Linked DNA regions of Arabidopsis thaliana. The protein of the gene in region 1 purifies or fractionates together with the protein of each later gene. This does not show direct contact. Each region holds a gene or a part of one and is shown in the gene's direction. Other genes may lie near its edges.

Region 1 (5,756 bases):
ACGTTCATTAGGTTGAAGAGAAAGAGAGAGAGGGAGAGAGCTATTGTAAAACATGGCAAGGTCAGAAATGACACCAACCATATGGAAAATTTTGGTCAGAGCTTCTTTGTCATATCTAGCTTCCTTGGCAGCCTGTGCATAATTTTACCAAAATTATATGACATACCGCATAACACTAAATTCAAATAAAGCAAGTAATTTAGTCTGTGGTTACCATTATGAGACCAACATTGCTAGGGAAGCTCTCAGAGAGAGGAAGTTCATCACTATGGGGAAGCAGACCCTGCTTCTCAACCCAATGACGAGCTGCATCAACAAGATTGCCACTGCTTCCATTTGTTCCTCCTTTGGCAGCAATATCAGCTTTGTTTCCAATAACGATGTATGGGACGGGAAGACCACCAGGCCCACCAGAAGAAAGGGGAGCTGAAAACTCCCCAGTTACTGAAACTTCACCCGCCCATTTCTGCAAATTAGTTTTTGTAGTCCTTTGCGAAAGATCATGAACAAAAATAACTCCTGCATAATCAAACAGTCGCATCAGTGACAAAACAGGGACAGAGATGACATTTGTTGAGACAGACCATTGATTTGTGAATAGAACAGTGAGCGGCAATCTTTGTATCGTTCATGACCTGAAACATCCCAAAGTTCGACGAAGAAATCTCTCTCTGAGTCACCTTTAATGATACTTGAAGAACTAGCAGGACTTGCGTAAGTTAAGTGCTGCACCAAAGAGAGTTCCAGAAACTAAGTAGGGAAACTTATCCCATGCTCTCTTTAACCATATCGAGAATTTTTTTTATAGAACAGCTTAAGTTACCTTGACACCAACTGTACATCCAATAGTTTGAGATGGGCGAACAATAGAGGAGCCTTTGACAATGAGATGCACAAGAGATGATTTTCCCACACCTAATTTGATATCCAGAGATAAAACTTTGCTCAATAGTGGAGAAGATGTAGTAGACTTACGAAACTTGACTCTTATTAGGTTCCACAAGTAGAAACTCATATCCAATCATCATGAGAAATCTTCTCATTAGCTCCTTCTTTAAGGATGAGTTTGTGCACTACGACAAACTTTCTTTAGTTCCATTAAATGGCTACTTAAAAAGCTAGAACCATTACCAAATCTATGGAAACGAGAATTTGTTAATATTACCTGAATCACCAACCACCAATACTCGAATTTGGCCGCATAATGGCGCTACCATATGTTCCTTATTTTCCCTGCCACGTTCCCTCCAAAACCGCATTTTGATTACTCCAGCAAAATCGGCACTGCGAAATTAAGTCCCATAGTCGCGTCTTCGACCAAAAGAGAAGCTTCCAGAAATCATCATTTCGAAACTCTGATTCCTAGCTGTAAGCAGATTATTCTAATCCATCACCTTGCACATTGCAAAACAGAGTCTCGGCTACAGTTCCTTCACCTTCCTAGTGCAAATAATCTCTAGAGCACAAATCGAAACCAATACCGAAGTTAACACAATTGATGGAGGTAAGCAGCGAATCTAAGGAATATGTAAGAGGATCAATATTCGAATTCTAAGAGCGTAATAAGAGTTTCACAGAAGTAAGATTCACCTTCTTCCTCCTTAACGTTCTTCTCCTCGATGAAAAAAATTCAGAAAAGATCTTTCCAGTAATCAAGGTAAACCATTGAATCTCGAGACAGGGAGTTCTCGATCGACATTATAGAATCTCTGGTTTCGCTACGAAAATTCGAAGATATCATGAGATTTGGGCGGAAGAACGAACGACGTGAGTTTGTTCAATCAATGGGATCGGTTCGATACTTCTGAACCAACACCATACCATATAACTAGACCGGTATTACATACCAAACCTGATTGACTCAAAACAATTAGTTAATGGCCCATTAGCAGCCCATGTAAAAAGATCCATCGGCCGAAGAATCTGAGATTTCTTGTTCAAGGGGTTGGGAACTCTGCGAATTATCTGTGCTCAGCTACTCCCAAAAGCTCTCTCATCTCTCTCGTCCGTCTCCTCTTTCTCCATAGTTTAAAGCTTCGTCGTTCCGTCACCAGAATTTCAACTACTTTGAGTTGATTCTCGTTGGATTTCTCACGATGGCGAGTCTTCAATTACTCAGATCTGATATTAAGTTTTTTTCTCGTTTTCGAAATTTTTGCATCTTCTCATTCCGTCATAGTTTGTATTTCAGGGAGACAGCGGGAAGCTTGAGGCAACGATAGATCGGCTTCTGAATGAAGAGAAGCAGATGAGACTCGCCGAAAACGTAGCCGGTACAAGGAAAGCCGCCACTGAGATTCTTCAGCTTTGTTTCGATGCTAAGGATTGGAAACTTCTGAATGAGCAGATTCTCAATCTCTCTAAGAAACGTGGTCAGCTCAAACAGGTACTTGGAATTTTGGTTATATCCTATCAGTGTTTGTGGTTTAAGCTCTTAAGGAACATGAACTTTTGGTTTGGGATAATTTGAAGGATTTGTTTAAGTTGGATATTTTGTTTGAGTTTTGAATGTGATTTGTTCCACATTTGACTTAGGAATTGCATAGGCCTAGTTTTTGGTAACCCTAATCTTGGAAAGAGATTAAGGACATTAGCACAAATTCAGGAGGATTCGACTTTGTGTTGGATACAAGCTTCTTTTTGTGGGATGTTGTCCTGTGATAGGTTGCTTTTACGATTCCTCTCTATGATTTTGATAGATTCACTGTTGACTCAAATATTAAAGCTAAATTGGGTCATTGCAGATAGTGATGTTTGTATTTAGTTCAGTTTATTACTTAACTTAGTTTGATTTTCAGTGTTTCGTTGGTTTTACTTTTGCTTTGCGTGTTTTCTTGGTCTAGTTACTTCAGACAGAATTAGCTTCACCTTTCCATGTACAAAATTATAGTTAAAAGTAAGGATACAAAGTGATAAGTCAACATCACTGATTTTTTTTTTGTGAACTTCTCCACTTGCAGGCTGTGCAATCCATGGTGCAGCAAGCAATGCAGTATATCGATCAGACACCAGACATTGAAACTCGGATAGAGCTTATCAAGACGCTGAACAATGTATCTGCTGGAAAGGTGCGAAACTATGAAACTGATGGTGTATTCTTTATAATAACTTCATCATTCTGTGTAATTGTTTACCATTGCATTTTACATGTATAGATATATGTTGAAATCGAGAGGGCACGTCTCACCAAGAAACTTGCTAAGATTAAGGAAGAACAGGGTCAGATAGCTGAAGCTGCAGATCTTATGCAAGAAGTTGCTGTAAGATTTTGTGCATTTGGCTATTAAATCTCCTGGAAATTTTCTTCCCTTGTTAACCCCTGCAATTTGATAAATAATTAACAGGTGGAGACATTTGGTGCTATGGCAAAAACTGAGAAAATTGCATTTATCCTTGAACAAGTAAGGACTTGTGTAGTTACGTTGCAATTAATAATTTGCTGGTGTTTTCTTTCATTGTGATAACTATCAAACTATTGTGGTCAAACTTTAAAGGTTCGCTTGTGCTTGGATCGTCAAGATTTTGTTCGTGCACAAATCTTATCTAGGAAGATCAATCCTAGAGTTTTTGACGCAGATACAAAAAAAGATAAGAAGAAACCTAAGGAAGGTGATAACATGGTAGAAGAGGCTCCTGCTGATATACCAACCCTTTTGGAGCTTAAGCGAATTTACTACGAGCTTATGATTCGGTACGGCCTTCTTGAGCTTCTCTATCACATTGTTCGTGATTTGTATTTCCATCATTTATCATGGCATTTTAAATTCTTATATGACTGTTTAATTATGGACCTCTCTCTCTGTCTCTTAAATTCTATCAATCTGTGTGGCTTTTGCTTGCTATGGTTTTCTCAGAGATGCATATTACAACTTTTTCCTGGAGGACAGTATCGAAATTTGGATGAATCTCCTTTTGTGTCAAATTTATGACTCTCTTTTCATGGCCAACGATTTTGGACATCAATTGCATTATGTTATCCACTGAATTCTGACGTACCATGATTGATTTCTGTGGCATTCTCATCTTTTTTATTATTAACCATAAAAAATTTCAACTATGTAGGTACTATTCTCATAACAATGAGTACATTGAAATCTGCCGTAGCTACAAGGCGATATATGATATCCCTTCAGTAAAAGAAACTCCGGAGCAGTGGATTCCGGTAAGCTCATGCCGTTGATTGGATGTATAGTTAGTATACATTCTATAGGGTTAGTGTAATAACTTTCTTTGATCTTCAAAACATTAGGTCCTGAGGAAGATCTGCTGGTTCTTGGTCTTGGCACCTCATGACCCAATGCAATCAAGCTTGCTCAATGCAACTCTGGAAGACAAGAATTTATCAGAAATCCCTGATTTCAAGTATATTTTATTTTCTGATAAATTTTGTTATTTCAATAACTGATTCTTTTGTACTCAAATGGGTTCTCAGTCTTTTTTTCTTTGTTTGATATCACCCGTTTCAGGATGCTTCTAAAACAGGTAGTGACAATGGAGGTTATTCAATGGACATCTCTGTGGAACAAATACAAGGATGAGTTCGAGAAAGAGAAAAGCATGATTGGAGGTTCTTTGGGTGACAAAGCTGGTGAAGATCTGAAACTGAGAATCATCGAACATGTAAGTCTCTCAATTTGTCTTTAAGCTTGTTTACATAAGTTGATTGATGCTTTAAAGTTATTAATTTATTCTGCAGAATATCCTCGTTGTCTCAAAGTACTACGCAAGGATAACCTTAAAGAGACTTGCCGAGCTTTTATGCCTGAGCATGGAGGTATGTTTGATCTAATCTCACTGGCTATATCAACTATGCTTCTGCTTGTTATAATTGTTGGAAATTGTGATTTCAGGAGGCGGAGAAGCATCTATCGGAGATGGTAGTGTCAAAAGCACTGATTGCAAAAATAGACAGACCATCTGGAATTGTGTGCTTCCAGATCGCAAAGGACAGCAACGAGATTCTAAACTCGTGGGCAGGGAATTTGGAGAAGCTTCTAGATCTTGTGGAAAAGAGTTGCCACCAAATTCACAAGGAAACCATGGTTCACAAAGCCGCTCTCAGACCTTGAAAACATGCGGTCTTCTTCATGAAAACTTTTCAGGATCTTCTTCGTTGAGTTATTAGCATCTTTATGTGGTAAAAACTCGAATCAGTGTTTCCTTTTAAAAATTGTACTATGGATCTGTACACTAACGAAGTGTTTTGCCACTTATTGGTTATTTCAAGTGTTGGTGGATTAGTTTTTGGTTAAATTGTTAGAAAATTTACATGAATTTACTGAACGAGAAGAATAATCTCGTGTGTGCCCCAGGAGATAGATCCAAACCTTGCGCTGACAAAAAGTCAGACGATAAAAAATTGCTTCATCAAAGATTGCAAGTTAATAATAAAAACTAAAATTATGATGGCACTGGCACATGTATAGTCTTCCATACTCTAAAAAAAACTAATAAAATTTGTTTATTGTTGTTAATTAATGTGATTAAATTTAATAGAGAGGAGACAGCTTTGCCAGTTCATCTCTGGTAAATAGTCCACGTTCTGGCGTCTTTGGGATTTCACCAACACCGTGACAGCTCCTTAGATCTCTCCTCGATTACTTCCTTTTTAATTTCCATGGCTCTCTAAAAATCTCTCTCTCTTTCTCTCTCTCTTACTTGTATTGTTACGATCTCTGCTTGAAGATTATGGACGGCGCCGATGGAACCGTTCGCGTCAAGCCTGGTCGCGGATTCGAAACGGAGACGGATGTTGC
Region 2 (6,288 bases), on another chromosome or scaffold:
TTTGTTAACTGACTGTTTTCTGAGAAGGGTTCTTTTCAGCATCCGTATGGTCATGCACCTTATGGTGCATCTTCTCATGGAAGTGAAAGAAGGCCAAACATGAATGCTGGCAATCTGCTAAATGGTGGAGACTCGATTGGTTCATACCCGTGGGGTTACATCCCAGCAAACTATCCTTCTGGTGGCTACCCTGATCCGAGGTTTGGTTATGACCGCAACAGCAATCACAGTTCCTTTTCACATCTCATGGTATGTTGGTTACTTCACATGACCTCTCTGCCTCTTTTCTGTCTTCATATAGTCAAGAGAATGTGTGTTTTGTTCTCTTCGTCATCTCTGCTGGGACTTGGGATTTTTTTTTTGTCTAATTACTGGCTACAACTGTTTTATTTAACAGAATCCACACAGCTCACAAGAAGTACCAAGTTTTGACCAATTGGGATATAATGATCATTTGTATTCCAACCATGGATTGTATGGACTTTACGGGAATGTAATTGACTCTGGTCATGCATATGGAACTTTTGGTTATGATTCCTGGAAACTTGGGCGAGGATGGTATCCCGTTGATGGTTATAGAAAGACCAGAAGCTTCAATCATGGGCGTGGTTACAGTGATGAGAAAGCAGATAGGCTTAATGAGCTATGTCGAGGACCAAGGAGTAGTGATTTCAAGAATCCACAAGTTCTTAACTCTTCAATGCTAGATGCAATGAAGCAAGACGTTTCAGCAGTAGATCTCCAGCGCTACAATGGGGAGAATTTCCCTGAATCATTTGTGAAAGCAAAATTCTTTGTGATCAAGTCATACAGCGAAGATGATGTTCATAACTGTATTAAGTATGGTGCATGGTCGAGCACACCAACTGGCAACAAGAAGTTGAATGCTGCATATTATGAAGCCAAAGAAAACTCCCAAGAATGCCCTGTGTATCTTCTGTTCTCGGTCAGTATGAGGTTACTTCACGTCTTGTGCAATATCCTTTCAGATTTACATTAAGTAACTCACTGTAATCGGTTTTATCTACAGGTGAATGCAAGTGGGCAATTTGTTGGTCTTGCGGAGATGGTAGGCCCTGTTGATTTCAACAAGACAATGGAGTATTGGCAGCAAGATAAATGGATTGGTTGTTTCCCTGTGAAGTGGCATATCATCAAAGACATACCAAACAGTCTCTTAAGACACATTACCCTGGCGAATAACGAGAACAAGCCTGTCACTAATAGCAGAGACACTCAAGAGGTCCGTTGAACTTCCCCTAAACCCTTTCTTGGACATGTTTGAAGCCTAATTGAATTCTAATAAATAATGATTATGGCTGTTAGTCAGGCTTTTAAACTGTACGGTGATGGTTTTGGTACAGGTGAATCTGGAGCATGGGACCAAGATCATAAAGATCTTCAAGGAGTATATGAGCAAGACATGTATACTTGATGATTACAAGTTCTATGAGACAAGGCAGAAGATCATCAGAGACAAGAAGATCAAGCAAAAGAAACAGGTACAATTCCTTAAACCCTGCTGCATCTAAAGCACATTAACCACCCCTCTTGATACAGTCTCTGGGATTGTTTCATTTTGATTGTTTTGTTATATTAGGCCCTTGATGGAGCTTCGGGGGAAACAATTAACTTGAGTTGAAAGATGGAATCAATGCAAGGAAAGAAGAAGATGACTTAATTAAAAGAACTTAGTTTTGAATTATGTTTTTTCTTCAGGGTTGGGATTTCTAAAAACCTAATACACATCTTTAATCTGTGTGTTTTCTCTGCTTATCTAAACAAAACTTACATTGTCTTTTGTTCCTCTTAAGGGGACGCACATCTGATAAAACAAAAACTCAGGCTTTCCTTCAAAGTTCATATCATGTTATTTTCAAGTTATTTCTCTTTTAGTCCCTAAACTTTCATATAATAAGACTCTCATCCGTAAATGTCAAAAATCTCACATTTTGGCCCACATCACCATAAAAGTTAAAACGACACCGTTTAGCACAAAAACCAGAAGGAATGGTGTTCTCTATTCGTCCCTAAACTTTCATATAATACAACTTTCACCCCTAAAGATTTAAGATCTCAATTTTTGGCCCCCATCCCCTTAAAATTTAAAACGACACCGTTGTGAACTCCCATTTTAAAACCTCGAAAGTTTTCTAGGGCAATCTCGGCCACTTTTACTCACAGAAAACCTTCTCTCTAAACTTCTTCGAAAATCTCACAGAGCTTCTTCTTCTTCGCTTTTAGGGTTTTTGCTCTATTGTTTCGAGTGACCCAACTTCGAAGCTTATAGATCGTTACCTTAGAAAATGGTGGGTATGTCGATGCAGCCATATGGTATTCAATCGATGCTTAAAGAAGGTTACAGGCATCTCTCTGGTCTCGACGAAGCCGTCATTAAGAACATTGAAGCTTGCAAGGAGCTCTCCACCATTACTCGCACCTCTCTCGGTCCCAATGGTTCGTAATGTTTCTCTGATTGGGATTTGATCTAATACTGAAATGATGAATCTCGTTTTCTCCGTTTCGTTTTACTTTTACTTGAGTGTTGTAAGTAGGATCTCGCTTGTGTATAGTTTAAGCAAGCTTGATCTGTTACTGTAAAGGTGAAGTCTTTTTCTAGGGATTCAGATTCGGATTAGAACTGAGTTCTTCTGTTTATAATGTTTCAGGAATGAATAAAATGGTTATCAATCATTTGGACAAACTGTTTGTCACAAATGACGCTGCTACTATAGTGAATGAGCTCGAGATTCAGCACCCGGCTGCTAAACTTCTGGTTTTAGCTGCTAAGGCTCAGCAAGAAGAAATCGGAGATGGAGCTAATCTGACAATCTCCTTTGCTGGTGAACTTCTTCAAAACGCTGAGGAGCTTATCAGGATGGGACTTCATCCGAGTGAGATCATTAGTGGATATACTAAAGCTGTCAGCAAGGTTGGTGAATACCTGAATTACTGTTTTGTGCTTTTCAATTTGTTTGTCTTGAGTATTTGACGAATGCTATTGGATTTTGATTATGCAGGCTGTTGAAATACTGGAACAACTGGTTGAGACTGGTTCTGAGACCATGGATGTACGTAACAAGGATGAAGTTATTTCTCGGATGAGAGCAGCTGTTGCAAGCAAGCAGTTTGGGCAAGAGGAAATAATTTGCTCTTTAGTTACTGACGTAAGATATTCCTTGCTATCTATTTGTTTCCTGTTTCGTTGTTCAGATTGTTATTTATTCAAGTTTATTGCAGATTTAGATTTTACTTGATGGGTTCATATTATTTCTAGGCATGTATTCAAGTCTGCCCAAAGAATCCAACGAATTTCAATGTGGATAATGTTCGTGTTTCCAAGCTTTTGGGAGGAGGCTTGCACAATTCTTGCATAGTCCGTGGTATGGTCTTGAAAAGTGATGCTGTTGGTAGCATTAAGCGAATGGAGAAAGCGAAGGTGAGATCTCTTTCTTTTGTTTATGCTTTTGACAAAGTTTTTTTTGTCTGAATTGATCAATGTTTGGGTCCCCTATGAAATATAGCTTTGTGGGTTTGTCTTTTCTGTTTTTGATAGCTTAATGTCTCTAAATCAATTTGTTATGCTTTCTTCAGGTTGCTGTATTTGCTGGTGGCGTTGATACCACTGCAACAGAGACCAAAGGAACTGTCCTCATTCATAGTGCTGAGCAGGTTAGATTTGTTACTGTCTTTCTAAAATTTCAAAATTACGATTATGGCTTCCTCAAAGATGGTTGTGTATTTGTAATCGTTATTGTGACAAATTTCTCTTTTTATATTGGATTTGTAGCTAGAGAACTATGCAAAGACAGAGGAAGCTAAAGTTGAGGAGTTGATTAAAGCAGTTGCGGAATCAGGAGCCAAAGTCATTGTTAGTGGAGGATCAATTGGAGAAATGGCATTGCATTTCTGTGAGCGCTACAAGTATGTGTAGACCATATCATGTTATACTCGTCTTAGCTATTGTTATTGTCTGCATTCTGATACCCCATTTTTTCTTGGCAGGATAATGGTATTGAAAATCAGCTCAAAGTTTGAACTGAGGCGTTTTTGCCGTACAGCGGGGGCTGTCGCCCATGTAAGTGTTATTAATTGGCTATCTGAATGAGTATCTAAGGGTGGTTTTATCCTAGCTTTTAATCCTTTAATTATCAAACAGTTGAAGCTTAGCCGGCCAAGCCCTGAAGATCTTGGATATGTTGATTCTATATCGGTTGAGGAAATTGGTGGTGTGACAGTAAGTACTCCGAAGTCAATTCCAATATTTTTGGTTAATTATTTTTGTCTTTCATTAATCATAGACAATTCTCGGTCTTCTTTTAGGTCACGATTGCAAGAAACGAGGAAGGTGGTAACTCCATCTCCACTGTGGTCTTGCGTGGAAGCACAGATAGCATTTTGGACGACCTTGAGAGAGCTGTTGATGATGGAGTTAACACATACAAGGTAATATCTAGCTTCATTTGTACCATCTATATCGTATAATTCATTAATTTGTGACTGTTATTACTTCAATTTTATTTTCAGGCCATGTGCAGAGACAGCCGTATTGTTCCCGGGGCTGCAGCGACTGAAATAGAGTTGGCTCAAAGGTTGAAGGAATACGCCAATGCAGAAATAGGGTAACTTTCTTTTACTTCATTTTTTCAAAAATTAAACATGTGAGGCTAGCTTTTAAAGCAAAACTGTCTATGGTTTGGGGACTGAACTTAGGATTCGCTTTTGAAATTTCAGGTTGGACAAATATGCCATCACCAAATACGCTGAGAGTTTTGAGTTTGTACCCAAGACCCTTGCAGATAATGCTGGCCTCAATGCGATGGAAATCATAGCCGCTCTGTACACTGGACATGGATCTGGAAACACAAAACTAGGCATTGACTTAGAGGAAGGTGCTTGTAAAGATGTTTCAGAGACAAAAGTATGGGATCTTTTTGCAACCAAGTAAGTTTCAGACTGTCTTTTTGCCATCAAATATTTCTATCAGACGTCTCTATACTTGCTTAGCAGTTGTTCTTGAACATATAAAAACTGGAGTAGAATTTTCTGACTGGTTACAAAGATTACCATTCACTTTAATTGATAACTAAGACGCTTAAGTCTCTGTGCAGGTTATTTGCCCTTAAATATGCTTCAGATGCTGCATGCACTGTACTTCGTGTAGACCAGGTATGCACAAACTGACTTGATTTAATCTTTGGTGAACGGAGCAATTTTTTATTATATTGTAAAGTGTTGATTCATCACATGAAGTAAAAAGATATTGTTCGGTGAATGCATTATCTTCCAGGATTAAGTCCCTTGTTCGTGAAAACTCTTAGATTCAATATTCAGTTCCACTGATTGATCTCATCTACTAAAACATGCATGTTTATACTCAAAATTTATGTAAAATGTGCAGATTATAATGGCGAAACCAGCAGGTGGACCAAGGAGAGATGCAGCTCAAGCTGCAGGTGCTGGTGCGGAGGAAGACTAAGCCGGAGAACAAATACCTCGTAGTGAAACTCTCTTCTTTTGTAACCTTCTGTTCCTGAAAGTCTGAGAAAATTTTGGTATGTCTCAGTTTAAGATTTGTGATCTTTGTAACGCACCACCAACTTAAGTGTTTTGCCTTCTTTTTCTGTTTTGCCTTGTTTTGGCTCGTCTCAACACTCAGATTTTCCGGTTTAGCTAGTGAAATTATTACTAGGATTTTTGGCTTAACTCTGTATTAATGTCAATTTGGTTTCTATTTGAATCGACTTTTGAACAAGTGACAAAATCATTCGGGGAAAAGAAAATGATCCACACATTGACAAAAGAACAAGAGAACCTAACTAGAAATTGAACCTATGTAAATATGTCTGGTTAACAGTTGTTTCGACTTTTGAACAAGTGACAAATTCATTAGGAAAAAGAAAACAAACAAACTAGTATTTGAACATGATCCACACATTGACAAAAGAACAAGAGAACTAAGCTAGAATTTGAACCTATGTAAGTTCTAAGCTTTTTAATGTTCATCCCTTAGACTTTTTAAGTCGGAACAAGATGAGGAGGCATCATATCATCCTGGAGATACATCCACATGAAAGAAGCAAACCCTGCAACTGCAATAGAGAAGACACTCAATCCCAATTTTAACACACCCTTGCTCCGTCCCAGACGTGGGTCTAGTTCAGTCTCCACTGTCTTAAGTTTGGCCTCAGAATCCAAATCTGTTTTTGGTTTCTCACAGATATCTTCTGTTGTGTTGGTTGGAGTTGTAGTACCAGAGGTATCATATATTGATGATGATGACGAGGT
Region 3 (4,593 bases), on another chromosome or scaffold:
ATGACATCTTTGTAGCCTGTACTTGTAATTTGTGCAAGTCCCATGTGAAAAGATTGATTTACTCTCTTGGGAAATTGGAGTCTTAGATTAAATTATCAATCATCTATCATCTAGCTACATAATTTGGATTAAACTTTAAAAATAAATGTAGCTATATTGAAATGATTAATTTTCAAGAATTAATGTCTGCGATTTTGGTGGTTATGTAGTAGCTACATGATAGTCGTACTTGTAATTTGTGCAAGTCCCATGTGAAAAAATTAGTAATTTCCTCTCTTGAGAATTTGGAGACTAAAATTTAATTATTAACTATTAATCATAATTATCTAGCTATATAATCATAATTAATAGTCCATAAATGTAGTTGAGTGATGAAGTTTTAAATAATTAATGTGTGATATTTGGGGTGGTAATTATTGTTGTAGGTGAAAATACAGAAGATGAGATCAAATTTAGAGGAGAAATTAATGAAGAGAATGGATATGGTGCACCGGAGAGCAGAAGATTGGAGAGCTACGGCGAGGCAGCAACATGTTGAGCAGATGCAGAAAGCGGCCGAGACGGCGAGGAAATTGACAAACCGCCGAGGCTATTTGGTTACCGGCCGTAGCTCATGTGGTTGTCTACCTTGCAATAATACTTGTCATTAACTCAGTCAAAGTAAAAGAGAGTAAAATACACATAAACAAACACAAGAAATTACTGTTTATGTGTTTCAATTATCAACATGTATGTTCGTTTATTGTTTATGCAAGAAAGTAAAAAGCCGATATGGAATAACGAATCGCAAAACTTCTTTTCAAAAAAACGGATTTTTTTCTGTAAATTAATTTGCAGAATTAAACGAAAAAAAGTTGAACATAGAATTGTAATTTTGTGCGTTGAACTTGAGTGGTATAAAATAAGTGTACTAGAACTTTTTTTTTCTTTCATCTGAAACTTGTTTTGGAACCATGGTGAAATACAAATTTCAAACAAGGGAAGCTAAGCCGATGGACGAAAGAAAAGTCATCGGAAACTAAAGTCGACGTACGAGAGAAAAGTCCTTGAAAACTAAAGCTGGAGGAAAACGTAAATTTTTTGGAGTCTAAAACCCTATAAAGGGGAAACATGAACACATTACAAAACAGAAATTTTAAAGCCTAAATCGAAAGAGATCGAAACCAAAACCTAAACATAAGTGTACTAGAACAAATCACTAGAATATATAAGTTTTTTTTTTTTTTTTGGAGTTCTAAAATTGGTAGGAAAAAACACAAACACTAGTGAAGACTATTTCCATTAATATATATAAGGAGTTTTGTTCTTGTTGTCTTTTAGTAACGAAATTCGAATAGTTGTTATCATGCAAAAGTGTTTAGAGAAATAAGAGAGACTGACCAAAGACAAACTTTTGCGTCTGGAAGGAGAAGAAGTCTCGCAACAAGTCACAGCTTTTCATCGTTCCCATACTTTTACGAGACAACACTCTTTCAATTATTTTGTACTTTTCTGTTTGGTTTTATTCACTAAAACTAATTATTTCTAAAAAAAACATTTATTTGTGTACAGCAAAAAAATAATAACCTGGACTGCCAATTTTTGTCTTTTTCTTTTATTGTTACACTTAACTTCTGACATTGAGATAAATTGGAACATGTTCAAATTCCAGTCAGTTCTATAGCTGTCTCATAATTTTTCAAAAATACAAAGAAAGGCCTAATTGGGTGACCCAGGCTTAATATAGTTAGGCCCATGAAAGCCCATTATAAAAAACGCTGCGTTTAGAAACAATCTAACTTGTTCTTCAAGAAGAAGTGCGTCTTTGAAAGCTAAAAAGAGAGCAAAAGCTTCTGTTTATTCTCCGATTCGCAGATCAATTAGCTGGTTTGATTCTATACTCTCAACAAGTTCATTGTGATGATTTTTATTTTCTCTGAATCTCTGGATTAACTCAGATCCGTTGTTTTTCTAGGGTTTTGATTCCGTTGTGCGAAGGACTTTAAGAGGTTTTGCAGATCGAAATCGGAAGAGAAGAAGAAGATGTTTCTCACTAGGTATCTCTATCTACTTCTGGGTTCATTGAAATTTTCTTCCTTTACTTCAATCGTTTGTTTTGCTTATGGTGGTTTCTGATTTTGTTGTGCGAAGAACTGAGTATGACAGAGGAGTGAACACTTTTTCTCCAGAAGGAAGGCTATTTCAAGTGGAATATGCCATTGAAGCTATCAAGGTAACTTTTCGATTCCTCAATTTGTTAGTTTCCTATGGAAATCGAGAAATTTTGAAGAAAGGGTAATGGTTGATTTACGGTTTTCTTTGATTGCTTTAGCTTATTTGCACAAGTTCTAGCTCACATTTCCTTGTTTAATCGATGTAGTTTGCATTTCAAATTTGTAAAAGGGATTGTTGAATTTTGTTGAGACTCTGATGAGTGTTGAATTTTGTTGCAGCTTGGTTCTACTGCAATTGGAGTAAAGACAAAAGAAGGAGTTGTGCTTGCTGTCGAGAAGCGTATCACGTCGCCATTGCTGGTTTGCTTGCTAACTTTGAATTCTATGTTTTTCAGAATTTTTCTTGTGATTCACTATTTTGGAACAATTTGAATTGAATCTGATGATATGATCAAGCAGAAGCATATAAGCTTTCTATGTTAGTTATGGTGATATTAGCTTTCTCAGTATATGTTAAATGCTTTTTCTTTTTCCCCAGGAACCGAGCAGTGTGGAGAAGATTATGGAAATTGATGACCATATTGGTTGTGCTATGAGCGGTTTAATTGCTGACGCGCGCACACTTGTTGAGCATGCTAGAGTTGAAACTCAAGTAAGGTTTCTGTCTCTAGGGTCTTTTCTTTTAGCTTCAACAGGTCTTTTATGTGTTATTGACGGCTTCTTTTGCTCTTGTACAGAACCATAGATTCTCGTATGGTGAGCCGATGACTGTAGAGTCCACAACACAAGCACTGTGTGATCTGGCTTTACGGTTTGGTGAAGGAGAGGAAGAATCAATGGTAATAATCAAAATTGGAATTACTGATTAGAACAAAACCTTGATAAGTTGGATATCCATATTTAGTCGTTGTATTGTGTGTACTGATTCTCTTTGTCATTAATGTGACTACAGTCTCGGCCGTTTGGAGTATCTCTTCTCATTGCTGGCCATGATGAAAATGGACCAAGCTTGTAAGTTCTCCTTCAGTTGGATTTCTTCTACTGAAATGGTTCACTTGTGTAAGTTAGTTTATCTTCTTGTAAATGACTCTGTCTTGTTACAGGTACTACACTGATCCTTCAGGAACATTCTGGCAGTGCAATGCAAAGGCAATTGGTTCAGGTTCTGAAGGAGCTGATAGCTCTCTTCAAGAGCAATTCAACAAAGTAACTTGAACTTTTTCCCAATTGTTTTTCAATAAATTATTTGATTACATCACTTTATTTGCCATTAAAACCTTTAGTTTCATTAACTTGTTGCAGGATTTGTCTCTACAAGAAGCTGAGACTATCGCTGTATCTATCCTAAAGCAAGTTATGGAAGAAAAGGTACAAATTTTACAATCCAAAACTGTAAACAGAAGTTCTTGCTCAATCTAATTGTATTGGTTGGTGATAGGTGACTCCAAATAACGTGGATATTGCCAAGGTAGCACCAGCTTATCATCTCTACACTCCACAAGAAGTCGAAGCAGTCATCGCTCGTCTTTGATTGAAAAAACTCAATTTGGGTAATTTACCTATCAGCTTGTGTCACAAAACTTGTTACTTTTGTCTGTTAGATTGAGGATCATGTCACATTTTAGTCGGTTGTGTAAGAGAATCTTTTGGCTCCCATGTCATTCAATAACCTTTCGGATTTGTGACTTATAAAATTTCCTTTCCTACCACTTACGTTTTGTTACTTGCTCTTCGACTTGGCTTTGTCCTGACTATATGGATAGATTTATTCTGGCTTGCTCCACAAGTTAATCTTGTTTATTCTGGTTTTGTTTAGTGTGGATAGATTAGTATTGAGTTAGATTTTTGTTTAGGAGCCGGCTCCTAATTAATCGCCATCAGATAATTAGATTTTTATCGGATTTATGATCATCCCGTTTGTTAGTAACATCGTCGACAATGTCCCGATGACAAGGATATGAAGGTGAGTAATGGTTAGTAACAGTATCATCGTTGTGTTATAATTCGAGTTCAAGGTGTGAGCTACAAAAAGCGAGTAGCTTTGATAGTTCTACATCAAGAAGATATCGTATTAGGGGATACACAAAATACAACTATGTTGGAAAAAATTACAGATCATGCATAAGTGTCAAACAAATATAAAGTAGATCACAACCGGATGTTTTCAAAAACAAGCTACGAATCCAATTGTATTGTCACTATATTAAGATAGCTGATTGATCACTCCTGTTGCCGGTATCCAATCAGCTCCGTGTAAAAGCGTAGCCACTGTAAACTTCGCAGCCTCGGCGTCCGACATAACCGGTTTATATCCAGCCCATTTAACTCTCTGCGTTACATCTGAACCCGGGCCCGTATTCTTATACTCTCCGTAGACAATACTTGCTGGTGGATCAACTCCAGAAACCCATGACATCCACCCGGACGGTCGAACCACTGC
Region 4 (3,291 bases), on another chromosome or scaffold:
AAAATAAGCTGGCTCCTCCCATCACAACAACAATAGCCAAAACGGTTGAAGAAGATCTAGAGGCGGAGCTAGATGTCGAGGTTTTGACATCCTGATCCGCTTCAGATTGAGCAAGCGTATCGGGGGTTCCTCTTGGACTAATGGGCGCGTAATCCCCCACCACCACAACACCGTCTGGTGCAAGTTCTAAGGGGATTTCGTAATCCGGATAATCTTGAGATGGACCAAGACTATCAATCAAACTCTTTGTAGAGTTATCTACTGTTGGTTTGTTGTCAGCAAGAGTCTTTGATGAAGATGGCGATTGAGACTTTTCAGAATCAGCTGCTGAAATTCCATTAGCCACGGTTAGAATTACGAAAATGAAGACAAGGAAGAAATGACTCGCCATCGTATAATTTGTAATATAGTACGTGATGATATATTGATCCCCTAGGCTCTTTTATTCAAATGGACCTTTGTGGGGTTATAGTATTGAATTGTATATACGATGATTTTCTGTGAGGTTCACAAAAGTAGATCGATTAAACAATCAAGGTGAATTGAAAGTGAAGGAGAAATGGAGATTGGGAATTTAAACTTGTAATGGAGATGGTTGTATATTGTTATTTACGGTTAGGTGTTGTGTTTCATAACTCACATACGAGTTCACGAGCTGTTCAATTTTCTATATCTATAAGAAAATGGTTACAAGTTAAACTATGTTTAGAATATGGTTAGGGTATTTTTAACTAGTTGTTTAAAGAGCCGTCTTTAAGTATTTTAAGACGACTAAAAATAAAAAGGCTGTTTTACACATATTGATAATAAATTATTATTTATGATTAAACTAAATATAAAACTGGATATAGTTTAAACATTCTAAAAAGGAAATTGTTAAAATTAGCGTTTCTAGTGACTCAAACCTTAGTGTTGAAGATTATTTAGAACCAGCCTTTACCACTAGACTACCTAACAAATACAAAATTATAAAGCTGAAATTGTTTTTATAGTATTTGCGGCCGCAAGTTTGGGTTTGGCACGCTTGTGCTTGTGACCGGTTTGTAAGTGTATGTGAGAAGTGAAAGCTATATAAAATCATATGTATTTAAACGTATTTAGAGCATCTCCAATGAAAAGAGTTCCTCATAGGATCTCTCTATTTTTTTAAGTATAAATTTCAAAAAAAGTTAAAAAGAGAGCTTTAGTATTTTTAAAAAAAATTCATACTCCAGTCAAAGTTTCTCTTAGTGGGGTTCTCAGAAAAAAATATATTATTTTAAAATTTTTTTATTTAATAAGACTTAATAATTATTGTAATTCATAACATATTAAACATACATTATTTTGAAATATTTTTTTAAAATAGATGTGCAAAAACAAAATTGAATATATTATCAAATTGTTGATCGAGTAATTGATCAAAACTTTACTCTATGACATCGTAAAATGGAATACGGGACGAAAAAGCCATATCGTTTGATAGCTTGTGGTAGAAAAAGAAAAAAAAAATTAAAGAATGAAAACAAAAAAATCTCTTTATTTTTTGTTAAAAATATGCGTCCAATCACAAGACGACAAGTGTCAGACTCTATTAAATTCTCAAAGCTCTCTAGAGAGAGTCAATGCTCTCAATTATAATGAGTTTAGAAATATTTTTTTGAAATAAGTGAGAGAGAATTCATCAAAAAAATAAAAATTGAATAGAACTCCCCATTGTTGATATTATGGTTCTCTTCTTGTTGTTGTTGATTTAGACTATAATTTGTAACGCTATACCTAATATATGTGTTGCTCCCCATTGTTGTCCTTAAGGAGATGCTATATACATATAGATACTAGCCATGCAAGGATCATTAGAAAATGAATGTGATTAAATTACAAATAGACCCTTCGAACAATGAGAATCTCATGGTTATTGTTATAATGACTAAAGATTACATAAACATAAATAACACAAACTAAACATTTGTAACAACATCAAATATCCTAACCTCCGTACTATGCACGAATTTAACGTGTGAAAAATCGGGCCGGAGAACAAACTGTTTTAAAATAAACCCAAAAATTGAAATATGAAACGTATAATATAATCTTAAATGTAGTATGAAATCTCCAAGAAAATACTAGTAATATTCAATCATATGAAGAAAAGCCATGCAACGGCTGCGAGAACAGAGCCCGAGACAGAGATCACAAGCGATGAGGCTCCTGCCGCAGGAGCCGAAGCTTCAGGGCCGTCACTGGCGCCAGTTCCGTCATCGGAAGATGGAGACATTTCTGGAGTCGGAGCTGGCGGAGAGGAGGCGGTAGGTGCGTCAGAGGAGCTGGTAGGACCTTCGGAAGAATCACCGGAGCTTGAGTCAGGGCTTGAAGCCGGAGTTTTGGCTGATGATGACTTTGGAGATGGGGAAGATGGGGAAGGGCTTGGAGTTCCGGTGGAATTTTTCTTGGCCATGGTTGGAGCAGCTGTAGGCGGTGAGGTTGGGGCGGAGGCCGTGGGTGATTTTGGGGATGCTGCGGCGGCGGGAGAAGGAGAGGTAGAGTTCTTTTCGCCGTTGGCTTTCGGTGCGTTTGCCGGTGTTGGAGGATCGGCGGCCAAGACGGCGGTGATGGCCAAGGCAGCCACGGCGAGAGATAGGAGTTTAAGTGTCATTGTCATTTTGTGGTGAATGTGAATTGCTTTTGTGGTGATTAATTATGTATTTTTGTGGTTTATGATTAGTGCTAAAAAAGATTAAAAAGAAGAAAAGAGTTATTTTTGAGAGATTAAGGAAGAGGTAAAATTTAATTTATAGGGAATTCTACAGATTTGACCAAAGTTTTGGTTGACCGGGTCCATCGGAACTTGTCTTAAAATTTTATTGGTTTGATCTTTTGTTAGTAAAAAGAGAACATGTGGTAATGATAATTCCCAACTTTCAAGAAACAATTGAGAACACGTGACTATTGAGATTGATTTTGTGGTAACTAAATGAGCACTGTTTCAACAAAAGTTAATTTTAATTTAAGCTATACAAAATACTAAGAATTAAAACTTGATTAACGTACCAGTTAGTCAATAACTCAATATTAAGTGGAAGTTCAATTGTTCAATACAAATTCATACACGTAACTGAAGAAGCACATTTAAAAGTCAACGAAACATTTACATTTCGTAAACTAAAAATAAATAAATCTACTGCAATCTTGTGAATGAGTCTAATTAGAGATGAGAAAGTAAACTGAGCCCAAAATAAATAAGGCCCATTTAAAATGTAAGGCCCATGATAATACTCATAAGCTTTGTAATCCACGACGCACGTGTTCCAT

What was found.
Region 2: the proteins of EMB2107 (region 1) and AT3G03960 fractionate together in Arabidopsis thaliana (co-fractionation; one large-scale study listed by BioGRID). This does not show direct contact.
Region 3: the proteins of EMB2107 (region 1) and PAE1 fractionate together in Arabidopsis thaliana (co-fractionation; one large-scale study listed by BioGRID). This does not show direct contact.
Region 4: the proteins of EMB2107 (region 1) and AT3G27415 fractionate together in Arabidopsis thaliana (co-fractionation; one large-scale study listed by BioGRID). This does not show direct contact.

The regions. Positions count from the first base shown.
Region 1 is NC_003076.8:3,088,775-3,094,530, reverse strand, and holds EMB2107 (26S proteasome regulatory subunit, putative (RPN5)), read left to right. Parts: upstream 1-1,935; 5' UTR 1,936-2,096; coding exon 2,097-2,099; coding exon of another isoform or gene 2,100-2,103; intron 2,104-2,191; coding exon 2,192-2,386; intron 2,387-2,960; coding exon 2,961-3,068; intron 3,069-3,155; coding exon 3,156-3,260; intron 3,261-3,344; coding exon 3,345-3,401; intron 3,402-3,494; coding exon 3,495-3,691; intron 3,692-4,062; coding exon 4,063-4,162; intron 4,163-4,249; coding exon 4,250-4,362; intron 4,363-4,466; coding exon 4,467-4,624; intron 4,625-4,696; coding exon 4,697-4,774; intron 4,775-4,850; coding exon 4,851-5,125; 3' UTR 5,126-5,253; downstream 5,254-5,756. Other genes in the region: AT5G09910 (Ras-related small GTP-binding family protein), read right to left, coding at 79-132, 215-519, 585-726, 824-915, 1,166-1,259; AT5G09890 (Protein kinase family protein), read left to right, coding at 5,689-5,756. UniProt on the Arabidopsis thaliana protein: Acts as a regulatory subunit of the 26 proteasome which is involved in the ATP-dependent degradation of ubiquitinated proteins. Required for gametogenesis and sporophyte development. Acts redundantly with RPN5B.
Region 2 is NC_003074.8:1,022,126-1,028,413, forward strand, and holds AT3G03960 (TCP-1/cpn60 chaperonin family protein), read left to right. Parts: upstream 1-2,018; 5' UTR 2,019-2,306; coding exon 2,307-2,457; intron 2,458-2,669; coding exon 2,670-2,932; intron 2,933-3,020; coding exon 3,021-3,167; intron 3,168-3,277; coding exon 3,278-3,439; intron 3,440-3,594; coding exon 3,595-3,672; intron 3,673-3,790; coding exon 3,791-3,924; intron 3,925-4,005; coding exon 4,006-4,078; intron 4,079-4,159; coding exon 4,160-4,237; intron 4,238-4,323; coding exon 4,324-4,446; intron 4,447-4,527; coding exon 4,528-4,622; intron 4,623-4,734; coding exon 4,735-4,944; intron 4,945-5,111; coding exon 5,112-5,169; intron 5,170-5,401; coding exon 5,402-5,479; 3' UTR 5,480-5,766; downstream 5,767-6,288. Other genes in the region: ECT1 (evolutionarily conserved C-terminal region 1), read left to right, coding at 28-249, 398-946, 1,031-1,243, 1,365-1,502, 1,601-1,642; AT3G03970 (ARM repeat superfamily protein), read right to left, coding at 6,019-6,288. UniProt on the Arabidopsis thaliana protein: Molecular chaperone; assists the folding of proteins upon ATP hydrolysis. Known to play a role, in vitro, in the folding of actin and tubulin. Contributes to stem cell maintenance through its impact on transcription factors trafficking through plasmodesmata.
Region 3 is NC_003070.9:20,103,222-20,107,814, reverse strand, and holds PAE1 (20S proteasome alpha subunit E1), read left to right. Parts: upstream 1-1,737; 5' UTR 1,738-1,866; exon of another isoform or gene 1,867-1,954; 5' UTR 1,955-2,022; coding exon 2,023-2,036; intron 2,037-2,130; coding exon 2,131-2,212; intron 2,213-2,432; coding exon 2,433-2,513; intron 2,514-2,691; coding exon 2,692-2,805; intron 2,806-2,890; coding exon 2,891-2,992; intron 2,993-3,105; coding exon 3,106-3,164; intron 3,165-3,256; coding exon 3,257-3,359; intron 3,360-3,455; coding exon 3,456-3,521; intron 3,522-3,591; coding exon 3,592-3,684; 3' UTR 3,685-4,059; downstream 4,060-4,593. Other genes in the region: AT1G53860 (Remorin family protein), read left to right, coding at 426-650; PME1 (pectin methylesterase 1), read right to left, coding at 4,357-4,593. UniProt on the Arabidopsis thaliana protein: The proteasome is a multicatalytic proteinase complex which is characterized by its ability to cleave peptides with Arg, Phe, Tyr, Leu, and Glu adjacent to the leaving group at neutral or slightly basic pH.
Region 4 is NC_003074.8:10,145,252-10,148,542, forward strand, and holds AT3G27415 (uncharacterized protein), read left to right. Parts: upstream 1-1,814; 5' UTR 1,815-2,119; coding exon of another isoform or gene 2,120-2,123; coding exon 2,124-2,651; 3' UTR 2,652-2,741; downstream 2,742-3,291. Other genes in the region: AT3G27410 (uncharacterized protein), read right to left, coding at 1-391; AT3G27416 (uncharacterized protein), read right to left, coding at 2,120-2,641.